Oryctolagus cuniculus: one gene and its partners. The protein of the gene in region 1 interacts with the protein of each later gene in a biochemical or structural test. Links are inferred from orthologs where the notes say so. Each region holds a gene or a part of one and is shown on either strand. Other genes may lie near its edges.

What was found.
Region 2: the proteins of NOXO1 (region 1) and CYBA form a complex in vitro, tested with the Homo sapiens proteins (3 studies listed by IntAct). The link is inferred for Oryctolagus cuniculus from reciprocal best matches to the Homo sapiens genes NOXO1 and CYBA.
Region 3: the proteins of NOXO1 (region 1) and NOXA1 form a complex in vitro, tested with the Homo sapiens proteins (2 studies listed by IntAct). The link is inferred for Oryctolagus cuniculus from reciprocal best matches to the Homo sapiens genes NOXO1 and NOXA1.

The regions. Positions count from the first base shown.
Region 1 is NC_091450.1:33,242,967-33,250,114, forward strand, and holds the start of NOXO1 (NADPH oxidase organizer 1), read left to right. Parts: upstream 1-2,653; 5' UTR 2,654-2,676; intron 2,677-2,836; coding exon of another isoform or gene 2,837-3,094; exon of another isoform or gene 3,095-3,146; intron 3,147-3,731; exon of another isoform or gene 3,732-3,941; intron 3,942-4,039; exon of another isoform or gene 4,040-4,528; intron 4,529-5,076; 5' UTR 5,077-5,274; coding exon 5,275-5,340; intron 5,341-5,442; coding exon 5,443-5,523; intron 5,524-5,654; coding exon 5,655-5,730; intron 5,731-5,823; coding exon 5,824-6,001; intron 6,002-6,128; coding exon 6,129-6,310; intron 6,311-6,398; coding exon 6,399-6,512; intron 6,513-7,060; coding exon 7,061-7,148. Other genes in the region: GFER (FAD-linked sulfhydryl oxidase ALR), read right to left, coding at 1,404-1,566, 2,457-2,653, 2,837-3,094. UniProt on the Homo sapiens protein: Constitutively potentiates the superoxide-generating activity of NOX1 and NOX3 and is required for the biogenesis of otoconia/otolith, which are crystalline structures of the inner ear involved in the perception of gravity.
Region 2 is NC_091449.1:68,680,577-68,687,548, reverse strand, and holds the start of CYBA (cytochrome b-245 light chain), read left to right. Parts: upstream 1-3,279; 5' UTR 3,280-3,345; coding exon 3,346-3,403; intron 3,404-6,972. Other genes in the region: MVD (diphosphomevalonate decarboxylase), read left to right, coding at 1-198, 1,096-1,211, 2,094-2,202, 2,482-2,562. UniProt on the Homo sapiens protein: Subunit of NADPH oxidase complexes that is required for the NADPH oxidase activity that generates, in various cell types, superoxide from molecular oxygen utilizing NADPH as an electron donor.
Region 3 is NC_091432.1:237,589,104-237,596,134, forward strand, and holds the start of NOXA1 (NADPH oxidase activator 1), read left to right. Parts: upstream 1-3,338; 5' UTR 3,339-3,423; coding exon 3,424-3,600; intron 3,601-4,781; coding exon 4,782-4,864; intron 4,865-5,360; coding exon 5,361-5,469; intron 5,470-6,348; coding exon 6,349-6,483; intron 6,484-7,031.

The DNA of each region.
Region 1 (7,148 bases):
GCAGAGAGCTGGATTGGAAGTCGAGCAGCCGGGACCCACTCTGCCACAGTGCCGGCCTCAGCTACTCACTTCTGATCCAGCTAACCTCCCGGGAAGCAGTGGATGATGGCTCACATGGGAGCCCAGATGGAGTTCCAGCCCCTGGCTTTGGCCTGCCCCAGGCTCAACTGTTGTGGTCATTTGGGGAATGAATCAGTAGATGGAAGATCACTGTCTCTCCCATGTGTCACTCTTTCAAATAAATAAACCTTAAACGAGGGGCCAGCATTGTGATAAGAGGGTTAAGCTACCACCTGAGATGCCGGCATCCCACATGAGTGCCGGTTCGAGTCCTGGCTGCTCTGCGTCTAACTCCCTGCTAATGGCCTGGGAAAGCAGCAGACGATGGCCCAAGTGCTTGGGCCCTGCATCCGTGTGGGAGACCCGGATGGAGCTCCAGGTTCCTGGCTTCAGCCTGGTCTAGCCCCCAGCTGTTACAGCCACCTGGAAAGTGAACCAGTGGATGGAAGATTTCTGTCTCTTCCTCTGTAACTCTGCATTTCAAATAAACAAATCATTAAACGCTAAATAAATAAGCATGTCTATGTTCCTTGCGTGCTGCTGGGGGCCACCTCAGCCACCTGGGTCACATCGCTCCACGCCACTCCTTGGCTCCAGACCTTGGCTGCCTGTTGCCGAAGCCGGGAGTGAAAGCCACATCTGCTGGGGTCTTGAACCCTGCACGCCCCGCTCCCTCCCCGTTAGAGCGGACCCTTCCGCTGCAGCCATCGGCCTCCCTGTCTACTGGAACACCCAGGCCACGGCAACACGGTGGCCGCCTGCACGGGCATCCTCTCCATGCCCCTGCGGGGTCAGACCCCAGACAGGAGGGCAGAGCTGAGCACAAAGCACACCAGAACCAGGTCCAAGTCTCTTGTCCAGCACTTTATTCTGGTCTCTGAGCCCGGCACCGTCCTGGCACACCTTCAGAGGGCCCGTGCCAGGCGGGGCGTGGCAGCACGCTGGGCGACCTCAGGAAAAACTCCGCCCCAGACTTCCCCATGGGGCTGGGCCCAACGGAGTACTCAGGCCCAGGCCTCACTCCCCAAGTGGCAACGGCACAGAGCCACTGGGGCCACGGCACTGCTCAGGGAGAGGCACAGCCGGGCCTCACGGGGCAGGAAGAGGGAGCCCCGGCCTCTCGCGGGCTGCCATCCTGGACGACGAGACGCTCCTTCCTGCCTCCCTCCCCTGCACACCCCTGCCCAGGCCCCCCGCTGAAGAGGAGGCCGGCTGCTGGAGTGCCCGCAGGGGGCAGCTTCCTTTCGGAAGGGCAGTGTCCTGGGACCACCCAACGAAGACGCGACAGCTGTGGCTCTGACGCACTTTAATGAGCGGCCCGCCCCTCTGCCGCGGCCGCCCCTCTAGTCGCAGGAGCCGTCCCTCCAGCCGTCGCGCCAGCGCTCGTCCACTTGTGAGCAGTCAAACTCGGGCTTGCCCAGCTTGCGGTTCACCTCGTTGTGCAGGCGGCACAGCCACTGGCTGAGGCACGCGCGGGTGCGGGTGTCCGGCTGGTTCCTGTGGATCCTGAGTAGGGGCGACACAAAAGGGGGAGGTGGCCCCGGCCCTGCCGGCGCCTCGCCGCGGGAGGAGAGAGAGGCACTGCAGCCAGCGGCACCGGGGGGCGTCCTCCTGCGTCCGGAGATGGGCGTTCCCCAGGGTGGACCCTGCAGAGCCCAGGGCAAGGCACCGGGGCACGAGGCAGCCACTTTACAGTCTCGTGAAATCAGGAACACTCACCTGTGCCCCTGGCCCCAGGCAGGTGCAGCCGGGGCGGAGCCGGCACAGAGCGGACCGCTCCTTAGCACCCCAGGGAGGCCTTGGTGAACCAGTCAAGCCAGGGCTGCCTGGTTCTAACTGTCGTGGCTGCCCCCACACGTCCGGCCCGGAGATGCCTAACACAGCTCCCGGGCATCTCAGTGAGGAAAAGCAGTGGGTTCCCAGGCTTTCAAACCAGCAATCGGGGGCCGGCAGGGCGCAAGGCCTAAGCCACGGCCTGCAACGCCAGCATCCCACGTGGGCGCTGGCCCAGTCCTGGGCGCTCCACTTCTGCTCCAGCTCCCTGGGAACAGCAGCGGAGAACGACCCAAGTGCCCGGGCCCCTGCACCCCCATGGGAGGCTGGGATGAAGTTCCTGGCTCCAGCTTGGCCCAGCGCGGGCAGCTGAAGCCATGAAGAGTGAACCAGCAAATGGAAGACCTGTCTCTCTCTGTTTGTTTGTTTCAAATAATAAAAAGAGCAATCAGCATCGACAGTCGGGCAAAGTGCAGCTCTCCCTAGCCTGCCCCCAGTCCTAGGGCAAAGGGCAGCCGGCCCTCCGGGGCGAGCCGCAGAGCCCGGGCGGCCATGGTCTCTGCCCCGCTCTGTGACATCAGCAGGCAGTGCGGGCCCCGGCTCCACGGGCGAGCGCGGCTCACCTCTTTCTGATGTCTTCCGCACACTCCTCACACGGATAAAACTTGGAGAACAAATGGATGAACTGGGCCATGTCCTGCTGCTGCTCCGGGGTGGGCAGGTCCGGGTAGTAGGCGGCCAGGGTGTGCAGCAGCGCCCAGCTGTGGCGGCCCAGCTCCTCGCGGTCCTGTGGACAATCCTCTCTAAGCTTCGTGTCCCGCTGCAGAAGTAGGCCGACTAAGGGTCAGTTAGCGCTCCCCGACACGGAGGCCCACCGGCCACCCCCTTCCTCCGCCCCAGCTCTGCACACAGGTCCTGCGGCGCTTCCGGCCCGCGCGCGGCTGAGCGGGGCGGCCGAGGCGCGCGGAAGCCAAGGGCGGGGAGGTCGGGCGGGCGCCGGCACCTTCTGCTGCGTTCGCATCCACGCCTTGAAGTCCACGCAGGCCCGGCAGGGCCGCCTCTGCGCGGCGTCCTCGGCGCGCTGCGGGGCCGGGGCCGGCGGCTGGCCTGCGGCGGCAGTGCCCGCGGCGTCCCTCCGCCCCGCGCCCCGGCCCCGCGCGTCCGTCGCCAGGTCGTCCATCACCTCGGGGCGCGCGCCGCCCGGCAGGAAGGAGAAGAGGCTCCCGCGGTACGAGCGCCCCGGCTCCCCGGGCGCCGCCATCTTGCCCGCGCAGCGCCTGCCGGGCCAGCTCGGCCGCCAGAGGGGCCTCCAGGTCGGCCTCCAGGCCAGCGCGCGCGCCGCCGCCAGCGCGCGGCCGCAGGAGCCGGGGGCGCGCGCCGCGGGCGCGGGGGGCGGGGCCGGGCCGGGGTCCGGGGCGGGGCCCGGCGCGGAGGCGGGGCCGGCGGCCGGGGTCCGGGCCCGGGGCGGGGCGGGGCCGGAGGCCGGGGCGCTGGCCGCGGCGGGGCTGGAGGGCCGGGCCTCGGCGGGGGCCGGGCCGGGGGCCCGGGCCGGCGCGGGGGCGGCGCCGGAGGCCCGGGCGCTGCGGGTGCCCCTGGGCCTCGCCCCCCGGCCCGCCGCGCTCGCCGGGCGCCGTCCGTGGCGGCGCTCGCGCTTCCTCCAGTAGAAGAGCAGCGTGTTGTGGAAGGTGCGCCGCGGCCGCGCGGCGGACTCGGGCTGAGGCTGGGTCGCAGTGCGGGTGGCGGCCCGCGACGCCCCCATCGCTCCGCTGGCACCTTCCTGCGTGCCCGCGGCCGGGCTCTGTGCCCGCAGCGGGGGGCGCGCCCGAGGCTGGCCCCCCGGGGCCTTGGCAACGGCGCGTGCGGCGCGGGGCCGGCGTGACCGCACAGAGCGTTCCCTGGGACCCCGGGGCCGCGGTCCCTCCCCGGCGACCGGCGCCCTGGCAACGGGGCGCCCGCCTCCCCGCGGTCCTTCCGTGGATGTCCGGGCCGCGCTCTGTTCCCGGCACCGGGCCGGACAAGAAGCAAAAGTGCCCCTGACCGTCACTCCGTGCGGTGTTCAGCACAGTGACAAACCAAAGCCACACCTGTCAGTGTTCCTACAAGCAGTGGTAGGGCCCACGCAGGGCCGGGTGACCGCAGGCAGAGAGGGAGGGTCTGGGAGCCCAGGGCCGGGGGACATGGACAGCACAGAACGGGGGCGGGGTGGGGACTAGGGGTGCCCTTCAGGGGCCGGCACAGCCTCCCTGACCTGATCCCATGTCTGTTTTGTGAAGCTACCCCTGGCGGTGACGTGGAGAGTGGCTTTCACAGGGGCCAGCAAACCCCCCAGGGATGGGGGTGGGTGACGGCTGGAGTTGAACTGTGAGGGAACAGAGTAGGGGTCCAGAGAGCGGAAGCTGGGTGGAGCCAGCGTGGGCGCAGGGGGCCTCCGGATCCTTCCCAGCCCCATCTGATTAAACCTGGCCTCCCTCCAGCTTCTCTCCTGGGGCCCCCTCGGCTGCCTGGGCTGGCACCGGCAAGGTCAGACAGCTTTAGAGAGCAACCGGTGGGACAGACACACAAAGGATCTTTGTTGAGGCAGGGCAGCTTCCTGGAGGCCTGGGGGGGTGGGGGGCAACCTTGACACGGCACCAGGAACAAGCACCTGGCACAAGGGTTAGATGTGGCTTGGACAAGGAAGCCGCAGCCTAGAGAGGTAGGGCCCCTGGGTGAGCCCCCTGTCCAGCCAGTGCAGGGCCTCCCTCCCCGACCCTGGCTGAAGGGGCAAGGGGTCACTCCTGATGCCAGAGGTGGGTTTGCCGGAAGCTGTGACAGACCATGAATTCCCAGTGACCACCCCCAAGTGCCACTGGCCACAGGGACTGTGGAGATGCAGCCTCCCCACTGTGGGTGAACCCCTGGGGTGAGCCCATGAGTATTCACTTAGCACAACCTTCCTGCTCCGACTTGGTGGCACAAAGTCCTTCCTTCGGCACCAGGATTAAGCCAGAGGGAGCACCAGAGCCCTGTTGCACTGAACGATTGGTTCTGGACGGCAATTGCCGAGTCCAGCCAGTGAGTTCACAGCCGGAGCTGTTGGCACACCCTGGGGAGGGTTACCCAGGGTGTGTGAGCCCAGATAGGTGGGCCTCAGACAGCCCTTCCTTCTCCTCCCCCTGCCCAAGGCCAGACTCGGGAGGGCCCTGGGCGGGTGCAGTCCCAGCCTGGCCCTTCCAGGTGGGCGACTCATCCTCTCTCCACCAGCTCTGCCTCTGGCCCCTGGCCCTGCGCAGCCGGGCTCCTGCAGGTCGCGGAAGAAGGCCCAGGGGCGGGGCGGCTTCCCGGGGACTTGGCTTGGGGCGTCCGCGGGGAATTCCACTCGGCCAGTCTTCCGGCTGGCAGCGCAGAAGCCTCAGCCGCTGCCTGCCTGCCCCAGCATCCTGAGTCGTGCCGGCCACGGGCATGGCAGTCCCCCGGCACCCGGTGTCAGTGCGCGCAGCAGCCTTGGTGCAGATGGAGCGGCTCCAGGTATGACCCGCCCCTACCAGCCCGAGGGCTTTGTAAGTGGATGCCCCTGGCCCGGGCCCCAGGCACACCCAACCTCCCCCTACCACCCCCCACCCCCCGTAGACGTTTGCCTTCTCCGTGCGCTGGTCAGATGGCAGCGACACTTTGGTGCGCAGGAGCTGGGATGAATTCAGGCGGCTCCAGGTGAGCGACCCTGATGGGGTCTCCCTCCCTCACCCTCCACCTGGATTTCCCGTCCCTGTCACCCTGGGGAGGGGTCCACGCCCTGCCTGGAGGCCGGGCAGCTGGACAGACACCCCGCTTCTCGTCCTCAGAAGACCCTCAGGGAGACCTTCCCGGTGGAGGCGGGCCTGCTTCGGAAGTGCGACCGTGTTCTCCCCAAGCTTCCTGGTCAGGCCTGGGGTCCTGGGTGGGGCGGGGAAAGGCTTTTGGGCCAGGAAGACCTGGGGTGGGCCCCACAGTGCATCCTCTTGGTGCCTGCAGATGCACCGCTGTTAGCAAGAGGGGGACGCACTGGCCGCGGGCTGGCGCGCCTCCGGCTGCTGGAGACCTACACCCGGACGCTGCTGGCGGCCGCAGAGCGGGTGTCACAGAGCCCAGCGCTCACCGGCTTCTTTGCGCCACAACCCCTGGACCTGGAGCCCTCGTTGCCGCCTGGCAGGTGCTGGACCCAACTCCCTGAGGCCTACGGACGCTGGGGGAGGCTTAGTGGAGGAAGAGGAGCCACCGGTGGGCTTGTGGGCGTGGCGGGCCCGTCCCCACCCCCTCACCGGCTCCCTCCTTGCCAGCCTGGTGATCCTGCCGGCCCCCGAGGAGCCCAGGCCGCGTCCCGCAGGCAGCCTTGCCATCCACAGCCTGGAGGTTCAGCGGCTGCACTGCCTGCAGCCCTTCCACACCCAGGACACCCGGGGCAGGCCCTTCCAGGCGCGGGCCCAGGACAGCCTGGACGTGCTGCTGCGACACCCCTCAGGTAGTGGCCCCAGCAGTCAGGGCGCTGGCCTTGCTGCCCTGGACCCCGGTGGGCCGAGATCTGACGCCCTCCTGCCTCTTGTTCACAGGCTGGTGGCTGGTGGCGAATGAGGACCAGCAAACAGCCTGGTTTCCAGCTCCCTACCTGGAAGAGGTGGCCCTGAGCCCGGGCCAGGAGGGGGCCCTGTCCCTGGGGAGCACTGGTAGGATTTTTTTAAAAAAGATTTATTTATTTTACTTGAAAGTCAGTTACACGGGGGGGGGGGGGGGGGGGGCGGGGGAGGGAGGGAGGGAGAGTGAGTCTTCCATCCGATGGTTCACTCTCCAATTGGCAGCAATGGCCAGAGCTGTGCTGATCCAAAGCCAGGAGCCAGGAGCTTCCTCTGGGTCCCCCATGTGGGTGCAGGGGCCCAAGCACTTGGGCCATCTTCCACTGCTTTCCCAGGCCACAGCAGAGAGCTGGACAGGAAGTAGAGCAGCCGGGTCTCGAACCGGCGCCCATATGGGATGCCGGTGCTGCAGGCCAGGGCATTAACCCGCTGCACCACAGCGCTGGCCCCTGGTAGGATTCTGACCCTCCTCTCCTAGCTGGGCAGTGAGGGGCAAGGGAGGGCCAGGGGAAGCGCAGGCGGCAAGGGGCGCTGGAGGGTCTGGGGGCGTGTGCTCAGGCTTCACGGGGCCCTGAACAGAGGGGCAACGGGAAAGGCGGGCGTCTCTGTGGCCTAGCACTGACCCCAATGCCCACCGCCAGGGCCCCAGTTCTACGCTGCCCGTGCCTTCGAGGGCAGCCGCGCGGATGAGCTGACAGTGCCTGCAGGGGCGCGTGTGTGCGTGCTGGA
Region 2 (6,972 bases), on another chromosome or scaffold:
CCGGCGCGCATGCGGGAGATGACCCGGTGCATCCAGGAGCGGGACTTCCAGGGCTTCGGCCAGCTGACCATGAGGGACAGCAACCAGTTTCACGCCACCTGCCTGGACACCTTCCCGCCCGTCTTCTACCTCAACGACACCTCCAGGCGCATCATCCACCTGGTGCACCGCTTCAACGCCCACCACGGGCAGACCAAGGTGGGGGGGGCAGTGGGCGTGGCCGCGGCAGACCCAGGTGCGGGGGGCGTGGCCGGGCAGACCCAGGTGCGGGGGGGCGTAGCCGCGGCAGACCCAGGTGCCGGGAGGGGTGTGGCCGCGGCAGACCCTGGTGTCGGAGGGGCGTGGCCGCGGCAGACCCAGGTGTCGGAGGGGCGTGGCTGCGGCAGACCCTGGTGCCGGGAGGGGCGTGGCCGCGGCAGACCCAGGTGTCGGAGGGGCGTGGCCGGGCAGACCCAGGTGGGGGGGGGCATGGCCATGGCAGACCCAGGTGCGGGGGGCGTGGCCGGGCAGACCCAGGTGGGGGGGGCATGGCCGTGGCAGACCCAGGTGCGGGGGGCGTGGCCGGGCAGACCCAGGTGCCGGGAGGGGCGTGGCCGGGCAGATCCAGGTGTCGGAGGGGCGTGGCTGCGGGAGACCCTGGTGCCGGGAGGGGCGTGGCCGCGGCAGACCCAGGTGCGGGGGGCGTGGCCGCGGCAGACCCAGGTGCGGGGGGCATGACCGCGGCAGACCCAGGTGCGGGGGGCGTGGCCGGGCAGACCCAGGTGCGGGGGGCGTGGCCGCGGCAGACCCTGGTGCCGGGAGGGGCGTGGCCGCGGCAGACCCAGGTGTGGGGGGGCGTGGCCGCGGCAGACCCAGGTGCCGGGAGGGGCGTGGCCGCGGCAGACCCAGGTGTCGGAGGGGCGTGGCCGCGGCAGACCCAGGTGCGGGGGGCGTGGCTGCGGCAGACCCAGGTGCGGGGGGGCGTGGCCGCGGCGGACCCAGGTGCGGGGGGCGTGGCTGCGGCGACCCTTCGGGCCCACCAGAGGCCCTCCTCAGGGAGAGCAGGCTGAGCCCTGCGGGGCCGTGTGAGTAACCCGGTGACCCCGTGGCTCGCAGGTGGCGTACACGTTTGATGCTGGCCCCAACGCCGTGGTCTTCACACTGGAGGACACCGTGGCCGAGTTTGTGGCTGCCGTGAGGCACAGCTTCCCCCCCGAGTCAAATGGCGACAAGTGAGTGGACCCCAGTCCCATCCTGTGGGGGACAGGGTCCGTGCGGCCCCCATCCTGGGCCCCCGCGGCCACAGCCCCATGCCATCGGGGACGGGTCCGTGCGGCCCCCATCCTGCGCCCCCGCGGCCACAGCCCCATGCCATCGGGGACGGGGTCCGTGTGGCTCCAGCCCCATCCCATCGGGGACGGGGTCCGTGCGGCTCCAGCCCCATGCTGTGGGGAACAGGGTCCATGCAGTCCCCACCGCCCCAGCCTCATCCCCATGCTACTGGGGGACAGGGCCCGTGCGGCCCCGCCCTAGGCCCCCGCCGCCCCGGCCCCATGTGCCCGACCCCGTGCTTCCTCGTGTTAGGACACGCGCCAGCAATCAATCGGAGGGCGTGGCAGAGCCCTGGCGCTGGGACCACCACCTGTGCTGTGTGTGAGCGCACGCCGGGGGCTGGGGAAGGCCCAGGTGTGTGGGGGCCGAGAACGCCACCCGGCCCGGCCGGCCGGGACAGCCGCGGGCCGCACCAGACACCCCCCGTGGAAGCTCCGCCCACTCGCACCTGCTCACCCGTGCTGCCCCGAGGGGCCAGGAGCGAGCCAGAGCCTCCTGGTTTCTGAGACCCTCCCCTAGGGGACCCTGGCCAGGCCCTGGCGAGCTCTGCCTTGTGTCTTGGTAGAGTGGGCCGAGGGCTGACCGTGTCAGCCACGGAGGGGCCGTGGGGCTCCCATCCCCATCCCGGCCGCTGTGCCTCCAAGGACTTGCCTGAATGGATGCTGCCTGTGTGTGTGGCTGCACACGCGTGTGTTCCTGCGCTGCCCTGTGTAGACCTGCACACGCGTATGTTCCTGCGCTGCCGTGTGGCCGCACACGCGTGTGCCCGCCTTGTCTCCCAGGTTCGTGAAGGGCCTGCAGGTGGCGCCTGCACTTCTCCCAGACGACCTCAAGGCGGCGCTGGCCCTGGAGCCCACGCCCGGTGGCATCAAGTACATCATCTCCACCCAGGTGAGGCCCGGCCCTCTGCGTGACGTCATTGGGTGGGGGTGGGACTGAGTGGGCGGGGCTGCGGCGGGGTCCACCCCGAGCCTGCCCAGACTGGCCAGTGCCACGCCCCCTGCTCAGGGCTGCGAGACCCGTGCGCAGTGCTGACCCGAGCCAGGCGCCCGGCAGCGGGCAGCGGGCAGCGGGCAGCGGGGGCTCGGCTCCTGGTCGACTCGGGAGGTGGGGCCTGCACCTGGTCCCCTGCCTGCGGCCTCCGACCTCCGCCCTCCCTCCCTCCCTCAGGTGGGGCCGGGGCCTCAGGTCCTGCGGGACCCCGACGCGCACCTCCTGGGCTCCGACGGCCTGCCGAGGCCCGCTGCGTGACCGGACCCCCCTAGCGTGACGGGCGCGTCAGCGGCCCCCTGCAGCTGCGTGGCGTCTGGGCGGAGGGGCCGGGGCTGCCCCTCAAGCCGCAGCACCGCTCGTGCTGGGCCTGCAGCCCGGCCCTGGACGCTGGCCCGGTGCAGGTGGACTGGCCCTTCGCCAGCCGGCGGGGCTGCGGGCGGGGCGTGTGTCAGGTGGAGCTGTGGTGACCGCCCCGGAATAAAGCCAGCATCGCTGACCGCCTGCCCCGCACGCCTTCCCGACAGCCCCAGCAGGCCTGCCCCGTGGACAGCCCTCGGCTTGGAGGGCGATGAGGGTCCCGCCCAGTGCTCAGGGCGGGGGTGGGGTGGTGTCCGTCAGGGCGGGGTCTACCTGCTCGGCCGCCCGCCTCACCCAGGGCTGTGGCCCCTGCTGCTGGGCGTGTCCAGGGCCAGGGGCACATCCGCCTCCCCAGGGAGGGAGCCCGGCAGCCCAGGGCGGGGAGGAAGCGGTGCTGGGACCCCTGGTCCCCGCCGTGTGGGGGCGCTGCCCTGTCCTGGGGCGGCACAGGCCGGCTCCCTGGGAGCCCCGGGCCACACGCGGGATGGGCAGAGGAGCTGGGGGCAGGGGCACAGCTGGGGGGGGGCCTGGGGCAGGGAGCCGTCCGCAGGCGGCCCAGCTGCGGCCCGGGAGGTCGGCCCGGGGGGCGGGGCGGGGGCGGGGCGGAGGGCGGGGCGGGGCCGACCCGGCGGCGGCGGGCGGCGGCGGCGGCGGCGCGGGCCTCAGTGAGCCTTGGCGACCGCCATGGGGCAGATCGAGTGGGCCATGTGGGCTAACGAGCAGGCGCTGGCGTCCGGCCTGAGTGAGTGCGAGCCCGGCCGCTGGGCCCGGGCCGAGATCCTGATGGTGTGGGCGGGCGGAGATCGTGGGGTGGGGCGGGGGTCGCTGCGGCCCGGGAGCAGGGGGAGCACGGCGCCCCCGCCCCCGCCCCGCGGAGGAGGAAGCTGCCTGCGGAAGTGTTGCTGCGCCCGGTGGTTCCGGGAGCCGCCGCCCCGCCTGGCTGGGAAACTCCCAGGGACGACGATGCGGGGTCACGGGGGAGGGTCCCGAGGCGGAGCCGGGCAGGGGTCCCCAGCGGCACGACCCCTGCACCGGGTGCCCGGCAGGGTCAGCGGGGTTAGGGCTAGGCGACGGTGACCCGCCCAGAGCGCCGTGCTGCCCGGTTTGCTTTACCAGGGGCCTGGGGCCGGGTACTGGGAGAGCTCCCAACCCGTGCAGGCCCAGCCCCCAGGAACCGCCCAGCTCAGCTGCGACCCGACCTGACCCTCGGGAGGGAGCATGTGGGGGGGTGGGAAGGGTCCCAGCTCAGGGCCATGCCCTGTGCACTGGGGACAGTGAGCTTGGAGGGCCACACCCTGAACAGGCTGTGGGGCAGGCGCCCACGGCCTCCTGTTAATCCCCATGGCTGAGAACATGGCAGGTCAGTGTAGGGAGGCCCCACGGGACCCTCACCCACTGCCCCTGCTCTGTGCCAGACCCCCTGTTCCCTCCCAGGACGCCCCCAGGAGGCAGACAGCGGGGGGGGGGGGGCTTGGTTCCGATGCCTGTTAGAGGAGCAGCGACCACAGGCGCCCACTCCCATCCAGGCCAGAGAGGTCACGAGGGGTCAGCGGGACACCTGCCGGCACGTCTCCCAGGCCTCCTGCCCTGCTCCTCCTGGGGCTGTCCGGGCCGTCGGCAGCCCGCACGGGGACGACCACCAGGGACGGAGCAGCTCTGGCCGCGCCAGCCCCTGCCTCCCTCCTCACCAGCGGCACGGGGACCCCGCCAGGAAACCGCTTCCTCTGCCCACGTCCCCTGCTCCCAGGCCCCACTGCTGTCCCCTGTGCCCCACTCTGCGCCAGCCCACAGCCTCGGCGCTGGCTTTAGTCTCCCCACGCGAGACCACGAGCCCCCGCCAGCCCACGGCGGTGCCTCCGGTCACTGCTGGAACTGGGTTAGCTCAGGGCTGCAGGTGCAGCCAGCGGCTCTGCCCCGTGGCGGATAGACAGGAGGCCCCGAAAGGGGACGTTCCGCCCTGGAGATGAGTCAGCCACACCGGGCGACTGGGTGACCGCATGGGGAAGCTGCCCTCCTCCCCAGCACACGCTCCAATGCGCACCAAGAAAGTTAATATGTAGCCGAGCTCGGACCCGGCTCAGGAAGTCTGCACCAACAAAAGCGGGGAGACCTGGGGGGAGAACGCAGCCCGGGCCTGGGGCTGCCCTCGGGGACGGGCGCTTAGGCAGCGGGCGTCCAGGGCCTCAGCCGAGGCCGGGCTTCGGGCAGGATGCTGGAGTCAGACCAGGAGGGCAGCTCGGGGGTCTCCGGCCAGCACAGACCCCAGCCCTCGGCCACGCCACGTGTGGGCCTGAGGACCGGTGAGCACCGCCCCGACAGGCCTCACAGAGGACTCGGCAGGGCACAGCCGGCCCACGCCATGCACAGGGCCGCACGCGTGTGCAGGGGCGGAGCGTGTTTAAGACACCTCCAGAGCGGAGGGACGTGGGGGTGGGGGGTCTGCCTGGCCACAGGTGCAGTGAAGGAGAGCCCTTGGCGGGTAGCCCGGCCGCTCCACTTCCCACCCAGCTCCCTGCTGTGGCCTGGAAAGCAGCCGAAGGCGGCCCCAGAGGCCCGGCCCCTGCACCCGTGTGGGAGACCCGCAAGAAGCTCCTGGCTTGATCTGGCCCAGCCCTGGCCATGGCGGGCATCTGGGGAGTGAACCAGCAGACAGAAGACCTCTTTCTTCCAAATAAAATGAAAATAAATTTTTCAAAACCAAAAGCAACAAAGCGAGGAAAACGCAGTGGATGAGCTGAGCTGGGAGCCTCACAGCGTGGACGCGGGCACAGCGCAGGCACCGCCACACGCGTGGCGACAGCTCCAGGCACACGGCCGAGGGTGACAAGGATGAGCCGGCGTCCTCCGCGTGGACACGCGGGCCGCAGGCCACGGCAGCACATCCGGAACACTCGGTGGCCAGTGAGCTTCCCAGCACCGCAGCAGGCGCCCACACACAGCCAAGGCCGCTCCCGAGTGCAGGACCCACGGGCCACGTGGCCACCACACCCACTGCCCGCACAGGAGGCCACGCCCCAGCCAGGCGGAAGGGGACCCCAGGGAAGCGGGGGTTGTGGGGAGGAAGAGGCTGTTGGCTGGGGGCGGGGTGGTGGAGGTGGACACCGAGGTCGGCTCCGGAGGGGCTGTGACATCGCGGGGTCGTGTCGCCTGACGGGTGGGCAGGCAGCGGGGCAACGGACACTCTGGCCCCTAGAGGGTCGGCCAGGTGAGCCCAGGGGCAGGCACGCTGCTCGCAGCACCGGTCTCAACGTGGGAGACCCCACTGGGCCCCAGCTGCCTGGACAGCGGGAAGGACACTCGCGGGACGGAGCCAGCAGTGAGCGCCAGGGGCCGATCGCGTGCGCACAGCGGGCACTGCCGCTCTGGCCGGGGCTGCGGGGAGCTCCAGGTGCCGAGCGCCGGCTTCTGTCTGATGAGGACAGCACCAAAGCAGAACCAGGAATGGCCACACGGAGCGAGGACAGGGCCAGGACGCCGACGCTGTCAGAGAATGAGGTCACCGAGCACGAACGTGCCACTCGCCGCCTCCGCCCGGCTGCGCCAGCCCCGTGCCAGCGGCGTCCAGATGTGGAGATGGACACGGAGCATCGAGGGTGCCAGAACGAGCTGCCGGGGCGAGGGGCACCCCGGCTCCACGCAGCCAGAGGAGCAGACATGGTCCAGGGCCCCAGAGCACTGAGAGGACAGGGTGACTTTAAAAAGAAATTTAGGCACCGGCGCTGTGGCTCAGCGGGGGAAGCCCCAGCCTGCAGCTCCTGCTCCCATGTGGGCGCTGGTTCGAGACTCGGCTGCCCCACTTCTGATCCAGCTCCCTGCTACTCCTGGGAAGGCAGCGGAGGACGGACCAAGTGCTTGGGCCCCTGCACCCATGTGGGAGACTCGGATCAAGCTGCTGGTTCTGGATCAGCGCAGCTCCGGCCGCTGGCAGCCATGTGGGGAGTGAACGGGCGATGGCAGCTCGCTCTGTCCCTGCCTTTCAGATAAATAAATCTTAAAAATTATTTCAAAGGCAGAGTGACAGAGAGCTCTCCCATCCCCAGCTCACTGCCCCGCAGCCTGAGCAGCCAGGGCTGGGCCAGGCTGAAGAACCCAGCCTCCATCCGGTCTCCCCGTGGGCACAGGGGCCGAGCCCCGGGCCGGCTTTCCCAGGCCGTGAGCAGGAGGCTGGATCAGAAGCGGGGCCGCCGAGTGCCGACACGGGGTGCACACACGTGTGCCGTGGTCACGCTGACATTCACGGGTCGTGCTCATGTTCACGGATGCCTGCGGGAGTTCTGGGAGTTCTGGGAGGGGGCGGTGACGGCCGCGCGG
Region 3 (7,031 bases), on another chromosome or scaffold:
GTGGTGAGGCCAGCAGCCGGGGCCGCGGGAAGAGGCAGCGGCCATCTTCTTTCCCTCTGGGCCTGGACAGGGGTGTGGGAGGCACCTGTGCTCCGAGTCCCAGCCCCTGGCCTTCCATCCGTGGCCACTGCCAGTGCTGGCTGTGGTTACTTGGGTCCGGCTTGAGTGGGTCTCAGACAGGCGCCCAGGACCCCAGCCCTGCACAGCCCAGGTTCGGGTCTTAGCCCCCGCCTGGCACGTGAACTGGGTGGCAGGCCGGGATAAGCCAGGAGCGGGCAGAGAGTAGGAGCCCAGGAACGCAGCGCTGGCCCCTTGCCCATCTGTGGCCTAGAAGGGGAAGGCACAGGAGAGGGGCAACACTCCCCCACCCCAGGGCTGGGGCTGCTCACCCAGCCAGCAGCCGCTCCTCCGAGACCCAGGCCCAAACCCAGGACTCACAGCCTCTCAGGAGCCTCATGGGAGGGGCAGGGCCGCCCCAGCCCCCGGGTGGGTGGGAAACACCACCAGCCAGGAGGGCGCCCGCACAAGACTCCGGGCAGGCAGGGCCGCAGGCACGTGAGGAACCGCACTGCGGCCAGACCCAGGGTCGAAGTGGCCGCGGGGGGTCCGGCCCAGCGTCCGACGGTGCCCCCGGGGAGCAGCCGAGCCTGCTGAGCCCGGAGTGCTGCTGCAGCCCCGCTGCTTCCTCCAAGCCCTGGCTCGGCCCTGCAGGTGCACCCCGCACCCAGCAGGTGCAGCCCGGAGGCGGGCAGGGCCCCGGGGGACACTCTGGGATCAAAGGCGTGAGGGCCGCGGCCCCCCAGCCCCATGAGCCCCACTTGAGGGCATCTCACAGCCCTGCCCAGTTCACAAGGGCCCGCAGGCACCGCCCGTGACACAGAACAGGCCACGGCTGGCTGGGCGACGCTGGCTTCCAAGCCCTGGAGGCCCCAGGTCCCCATGGGAAGGCCCCCGACACCCAGAGCCCGCCCCTCCTGCCTTCCGTGCCCTCTGCCCCCAGCCCTCCCAGTACGGACGCAGACAGGACAAGCCGAGCAGGATGTCTGCCCATCGATTTTCCTGTTGCCAATTGCACCTGGAGATGACACGCTTGGAGGATGCTTGGTGAATAACACACATTACTCAAATTAGCACATTTGTCTTGCCACTGTGCCTGGTAGGAAAGGCGAAATCACACTGGGCTCCCTCGAGGCACAGCGGGGCGCCGGGTGCAGGGGCCGCAGCCCGGCCTCAGGCCGTGTGCCCCACAAGCCGGCACTCACCCCGCCAGTCTCACTGCAGGTGTAGCAGGGTGGGCACCCCGGCGACTTCTCCAGTGACCCTGGGCCAGGGGGCGCCCAGGCCCCTCCCGGCACTGCCCGCCTGGCTTTCAGCCTGCACGCGATACTGCAGCAGGCACTGCACTGTTTTTTATGGCTTTATTGGGATCATTCAAAACATAAAATCTACCTCGTACACGAGTCCGAGTTCCAGTCGGACAGACAAGCAGCCATCACATGTTGAAGGATAACTGGGCCAGGCTGAAGCCAGGAGCTTCTTCTGGGTCCCCCGTGTGGGTGCTGGGCCCCAGCACCTGGGCCGTCTTCGGCCGCCCCCGGCCACCCCCCGGGCGCACGAGGTAGCCGCGCTGGCTCCAGCCCTGGCTCCAGCTCCTCTTTGCGTCCTGCTTCCCTGTGAGCGCCATCACCGGGCCGGGAGCCGCGCCAGACCCCATGGCAAAGGAATGGACCAGGACCAGGCTGTGGCGGACCCTTCCTGGCACCGTGCCGGGTGGCCCAGGCCGGGTGGGTCACCCACAGACAGGCTAGCGCCACCAGCCCCATGGTACCTGTTCTTACGAAGGGCCTCCGACTCCTACAGCAGAGTGTAGAAATGGAAGAACCATAAACACTCCTGAAAACCATGCCCTGGGGCCGGCTCTGTGGCGCAGCAGGTTGCAAGGACCGGATGGAGCTCCTGGCTCCTGGCTGTGGCCTGGCCCCGCCCTGCCTGCTGTGGCCATTTGGGCGGTGAAAGCGCAGATGGAAGGTCTCTTTTTTTCCTCCAGGTCTCCCACGCGGGTGCAGGGCACAAGCACTCGGCCATCCTCCGCTGCCTTCCCAGGCCACAGCAGAGAGCTGGACCGGAAGTGGAGCAGCCGGGACTGGAACCAGTGCCCATAGGAGATGCCAGCACCGGCGCCCCGCCACACCGCCAGAGGGAGCACGGGCAGCCCCGGGCCCTGGGTGGACAGGACCAGCTGTGGGGGGCGGCGGGAGCAGACGTGGGGAACCCGTGGCCGGGAGCAGGACTGGGGGGGTCTGTGGGGGGGACATAGGGCTGGGGGGGCTGGGTTATCTCACTGACTGCACAGCAGCTCTGCAGGGCTGGCTCTCATCGCCTGTGAGCTGTCGCCTGGCAACGACTGACGGGCTGACTGACGGCGATGACTGCCAGACTGATGGCTGACTGATGGCTGACGGGCTGACTGATGGCTGACAGGCTGACGGCTGGCTGACGGCTGTCTGGTGGCTGGCTGACGGCTGACAGGCTGACGGATGAAGCCACCAGCTTTGCAAGCTCGCATCCTCAGGCCCACAGCCCGCAGCGCAGGCCCAGTCCCCGCCCAGCTTCCCGCGGGCGCCTGCGGGGGGGGGGGCAGGTGCGGCGGGGGCTCCCGCGGCCCAACCCGGGCTGTCGCGAGCCACGAGGGCGCGCGCTCTCCGACTCTGGCGGCAGTAACAGTAATTTTCAAGTATTCCTGCAGGGCGCGGCCCCGCGGTGCCCCGTCCCCGGCCTCTCCTCGTCCTCAGCGGGAAATCGCCAGCCCGCCTCGAGCGCGGCTCGGAGGACCCGCCGTGGCAGAGCGCGGCGACCGGGACGCAGCCGCCCTGAGGCCCGGTGTCCCGCGCGGGGCCCGCACGGCGGGCTCGGGGGAAGCCGCTGGGCTCGCTGTCCACCGCGGAGGGCGCCCGCGCCTCGGCCTCGGGGTCCAGCCGCCCCGGAACCGCCCCTGAGGGAGCCGCGCGCCGTCCACTCTAAGGCTGGAACCTCGGCCAAAGGGCAGCCGCGGGTCCGCACGCCTTTTCCCCGCGCACAGACGCCCACGAGAACGCGCCGCGCCGCGGGAGCGCGTGGAGCTCCGTCAGGGGCGGGCGGGCCTGGGGGTGTGTCCAGAGCCGAGGCGGGCGGGGCCTGCGGCGTTGGGCGGGGCCGGCTGGGGCGGAGTGGGCGGGGCTGCCTGGGGCCGGGCCGTGGTCAGGCTCGGGACCGGACGCTGCCTGCCAGCAGGGGGCGACTGCACAGGCGAGGCCCGCGCCCCCACAGGCCCCCGGCCGTCTGCCGGCCTTGCTGGGCCGCCGGGCCCCTCCCTCGGTCGTGCCGCGGTCACGCCCTGCGCGCCCGGGCTGGAGCACCTACCTGAGCCGCAGGTGCAGTGTCGCCATGTCCTCGCTCGGGGACCAGGTGCGCACCTGGCACCGGGGCGTGCAAGCCGTGGCGCGCGGGGACTGGCCCGGCGCCTTGCGCCTCTTCTCGGAGGTCCCAGGGCCTGCCGCCAGGATGAGCTTCAACGTGGGCTGCGTGCACCTGCTGGCCGGGGACCCCGAGGCTGCGCTGCGGGTGAGCCGGGTCATGGGCGCCCGGGGCTGCTGGCAGAGACCCCGTCCCTGGGGCAGTCTCACGGGGGCGTGGGAGAGGGACGCGAAGCCCTTCTTCCCGGTAGATCCTCTGCAGGCGTCTTCCTGGGGGTGGGGGGCGCCTGAGGCAGGCGGGGGCTGCGCTGAGGGCGGCTGAGGTGTGGGCGTGCTCCCTCCTCGGGTCAGGTGGCCGCGGGCAGACGGGGCAAGAGCTTGGCAGAGGCCGTGATGGGCAGTCGAAGTCCCCCCCCCCCCCCCCGCCAGCACACCTGCCTCTCCAACAGAGCGGGAGCTCAGCCTCGGTGGGGGCGGGGGTGGCAGCCACAGCTGCCCGTGCCCTTCCAGATGTGTCTTGTCCATCACCCCGTGCGTGGACACAGTGGTGACCAAAGCTGGGGCGCCCTGCCGGTGACTCAGGCCCCACTGTCCCCGGGCGGTCACCTGCAGGGGAGGAGGGTTCCAGCCACACGTTCCCCGCACCCACATCCTGCAAATGCCCCGGGGAAACCCGGGCCCGGCCCAGCAGGGACCCCTCTGTCACCCCTTCATCCTCCAGCTGCCCACCCACAAGTCCCACTGACGTGGGCTATCCCGGGGGCAGCAGGCATCCAGGGTGAGTCACCACTTCCCGCAGCCGGGCTCTACCTGGGCCCTGTCGGTTCTCGTCTGCCCTCGTAAAGTTGACTGACAGCCTGTCGTTAGAAACAGGGAAACTGTGAGAAGCGGGTGGCGGCTGTGTGACCCTTGCGTCCCATGCCCTGTGACGCTGGGCGCGGCAGGGGAGCCATGGGCTCAGCCAGCTCTGCTAGAGCGAGACCCCAGCCCCTCCCCCAGCCATGGTCCATATTTAACTGGTGGCTGCTGTCCCCTGGGGGAGCGCAGGCCGTTGCCTGAGATGCGGTGCCCCCTCGGTCCCATGGTGCCCGTGCAGCTGAGTGTGGGCTGTCGAGGGCCCTGGAGGAAGCCCCTTCCAGCTCCTCTCTCCTCGAGGCTTTGGCACCACCTTGGGGCTCCACACTGGGCAGCCGGGGTGTGGCCACAGGGGACCAGCTGTGAAGGCCCCCGGGCAGGTGCAGACGGCTCATGGCCCTCCTGGATTTCTGGGCATGGCTGTGGCATCTGAGACCAGGTTCCAGGCCTCAGCCACGCGCATTCTGTCACCAGGCTTTCGATCAAGCGGTGACCAAGGACGCCTGCCTGGCCGTTGGCTTCCTGCAGCGAGGCGTGGCCAGTTTCCAGCTGAAGAGGTAAGCACAGGGGTCTGGCCCCCCGCCTCTGCTGGTGGCGTCTCTGCCCTCGGGCCTTGCCTCGTCTGCGTCCGCAGGGATGGCGAGGCGGTGCCCGTCTTGTGGGTGTGGCTGGGGCAGGGCTGGAGGAGTGGCCGGTCCTGGAGGAAGCATGTGGGCCCGGGCAGGCCCTGGGGCATCCCCATCTGCTGCCCGGGGCAGGGGGCGGGGCCAGGGTGAGAGGAAGCTCGGAGTTCGGAGGGTGGCGGTTCCAGGAGGCGGAGTCGGGGTGCAGACCGGGCCCCAGGGTGGGAGCCGGGCAGGAACCCGGGACCACACATCCCGCTGCCCGTTCGCGTCACAACCCTCGACCCACTTCACCCCACTGGAGTGTCCACTGAGTGCTGGGGCCCAGGTGACCACGGCCACCCTCCAGCAGGGGCCCAGAGCGGGGGTGGGAGCCCCTGACCCAGCTCACCCTCCCCGGGGACTGCTGAGGGCACACTGCCGCCCGCAGGTTCCAGGAGGCCCTGTCCGACTTCCGGCTGGCCCTGGTGCAGCTCAGGGGCAACCCTACCATTGACTACACGCAGCTGGGCCTGCGGTTCAGGCTGCAGGCCTGGGAGGTGAGCAGGCCTGGGAGGCGTGCTGGCCTGGGAGGTGAGCAGGCCTGGGAGGTACACTGGCCTGGGAGGTGAGCAGGCCTGGGAGGTACACTGGCCTGGGAGGCGGGCTGGCCTGGGAGGTGCGCTGGCCCTGGGCTCGCGGGCTCGTGGCCGCCGCTGTGTGGTGGGGGAAGGTGCTCTGAGGGCCCCCCTGGCCTGAGGCGGGCGCTGCACCCCAGGAGGTGCAGGCAGCAGGCAGGTGCGACCAGGACTGGGTCTGCGGGTAAAGGGCAGGGCCGGGCCAGGGAGCAGGGAGGGGAGGGTGGGGCGGGGCTCCGGGCCCAGCTGCTTCCCGGAACAGCGTGGCACTGAGGGAGGGGACTTGGGAGGACCCTCACCCTCCGGGGAACTCCTGCATTGCAGCCTCTTGGAAAGACAAGGCAAAGCCTGGGGGGTTCTGGAAGCCAGGGCCAGTGCCCACCCAGGGGTGCCCAGAGGTCAGGGTGAGGGCGGCTTGGCCGAGGCCCCCCAGAGCCCTGCTGCAGGTCCCCAGAGGACGCTGGCCACCAAATGGCTGTGGGAGGCCTGCCTGTCACCAGGGCCCCAGTGACCCCGGCTCAGTCCAGCTTGGCCATGAAACTCCCTCCCTGTAGGGCCCAGGGACACACGACCCCTGGGGGCAGGGGCATGGCCATGGGCCAGCTGGTGACATGGCCAGGGGATGTGCCACAGAGTGGCCTCTGGCTCAGCAGGAGAGCGCCCGGGGGGTCCTCCCAGCATGCCCCAGCTGCTCTCAGTTGATCTGCGCCCACAGCACCCATGGGAGCTGGACACCCAGAGCTGCCCTCGTGACAGCAGCTGTGGGCCCTGGTCCCTGACGTCCGCGGACCTCACTCCCAGGTGCTCTACAATGTGGCGGCCGCTCAGAGCCAGCTGGGCCTCTGGAGTGAGGCTGCCAGCAGCCTAAGGGAGGCCGTGTCCAAGTGGCCAGAGGGTGCCCACAGCGGTCTGGACACTGCCTTGGACCAGGTGCAGGTGAGGAGTGTCGGGGAGGGGACGGAGAGGGGAGGGGGCAAGGGAGGAGGGCATGCAGGGGAGAGGAAGAGGGGTGGGTGTGGTGTGCAGGGAAGGGGGCAGGAGGAGGGCAGGTGTGGTGTGCAGGGGAGGGGACAGGAGGAGGGCAGGTGTGTGCAGGGGAGGAGGAGGGACAGGTGTGGTGTGCAGGGTGGGGGAGGAGGGGCAGGTATGGCATGCAGGGGAGGGGAGGAGGAGGGCAGGTGTGGTGTGCAGGGGAGGGCAGGAGGGGCAGGTATGGCATGCAGGGGAGAGGAGGAGGAGGGCAGGTGTGGTGTGCAGGGGAGGGCAGGAGGGACAGGTGTGGTGTGCAGGGGAGGGGACAGGAGGAGGGGCAGGTGTAGCGTGCAGGGGAGGGGAGGAGGGCAGGTGTGATGTGCAGGGGAGAGGAGGAGGAGGGCAGGTGTGGTGTGCAGGGGAGGGGAGGAGGAGGGCAGGTGTGGTGTGCAGGGGAGGGGAGGAGGAGGGCAGGTGTGGTGTGCAGGGGAGGGGAGGAGGGCAGATGTGTG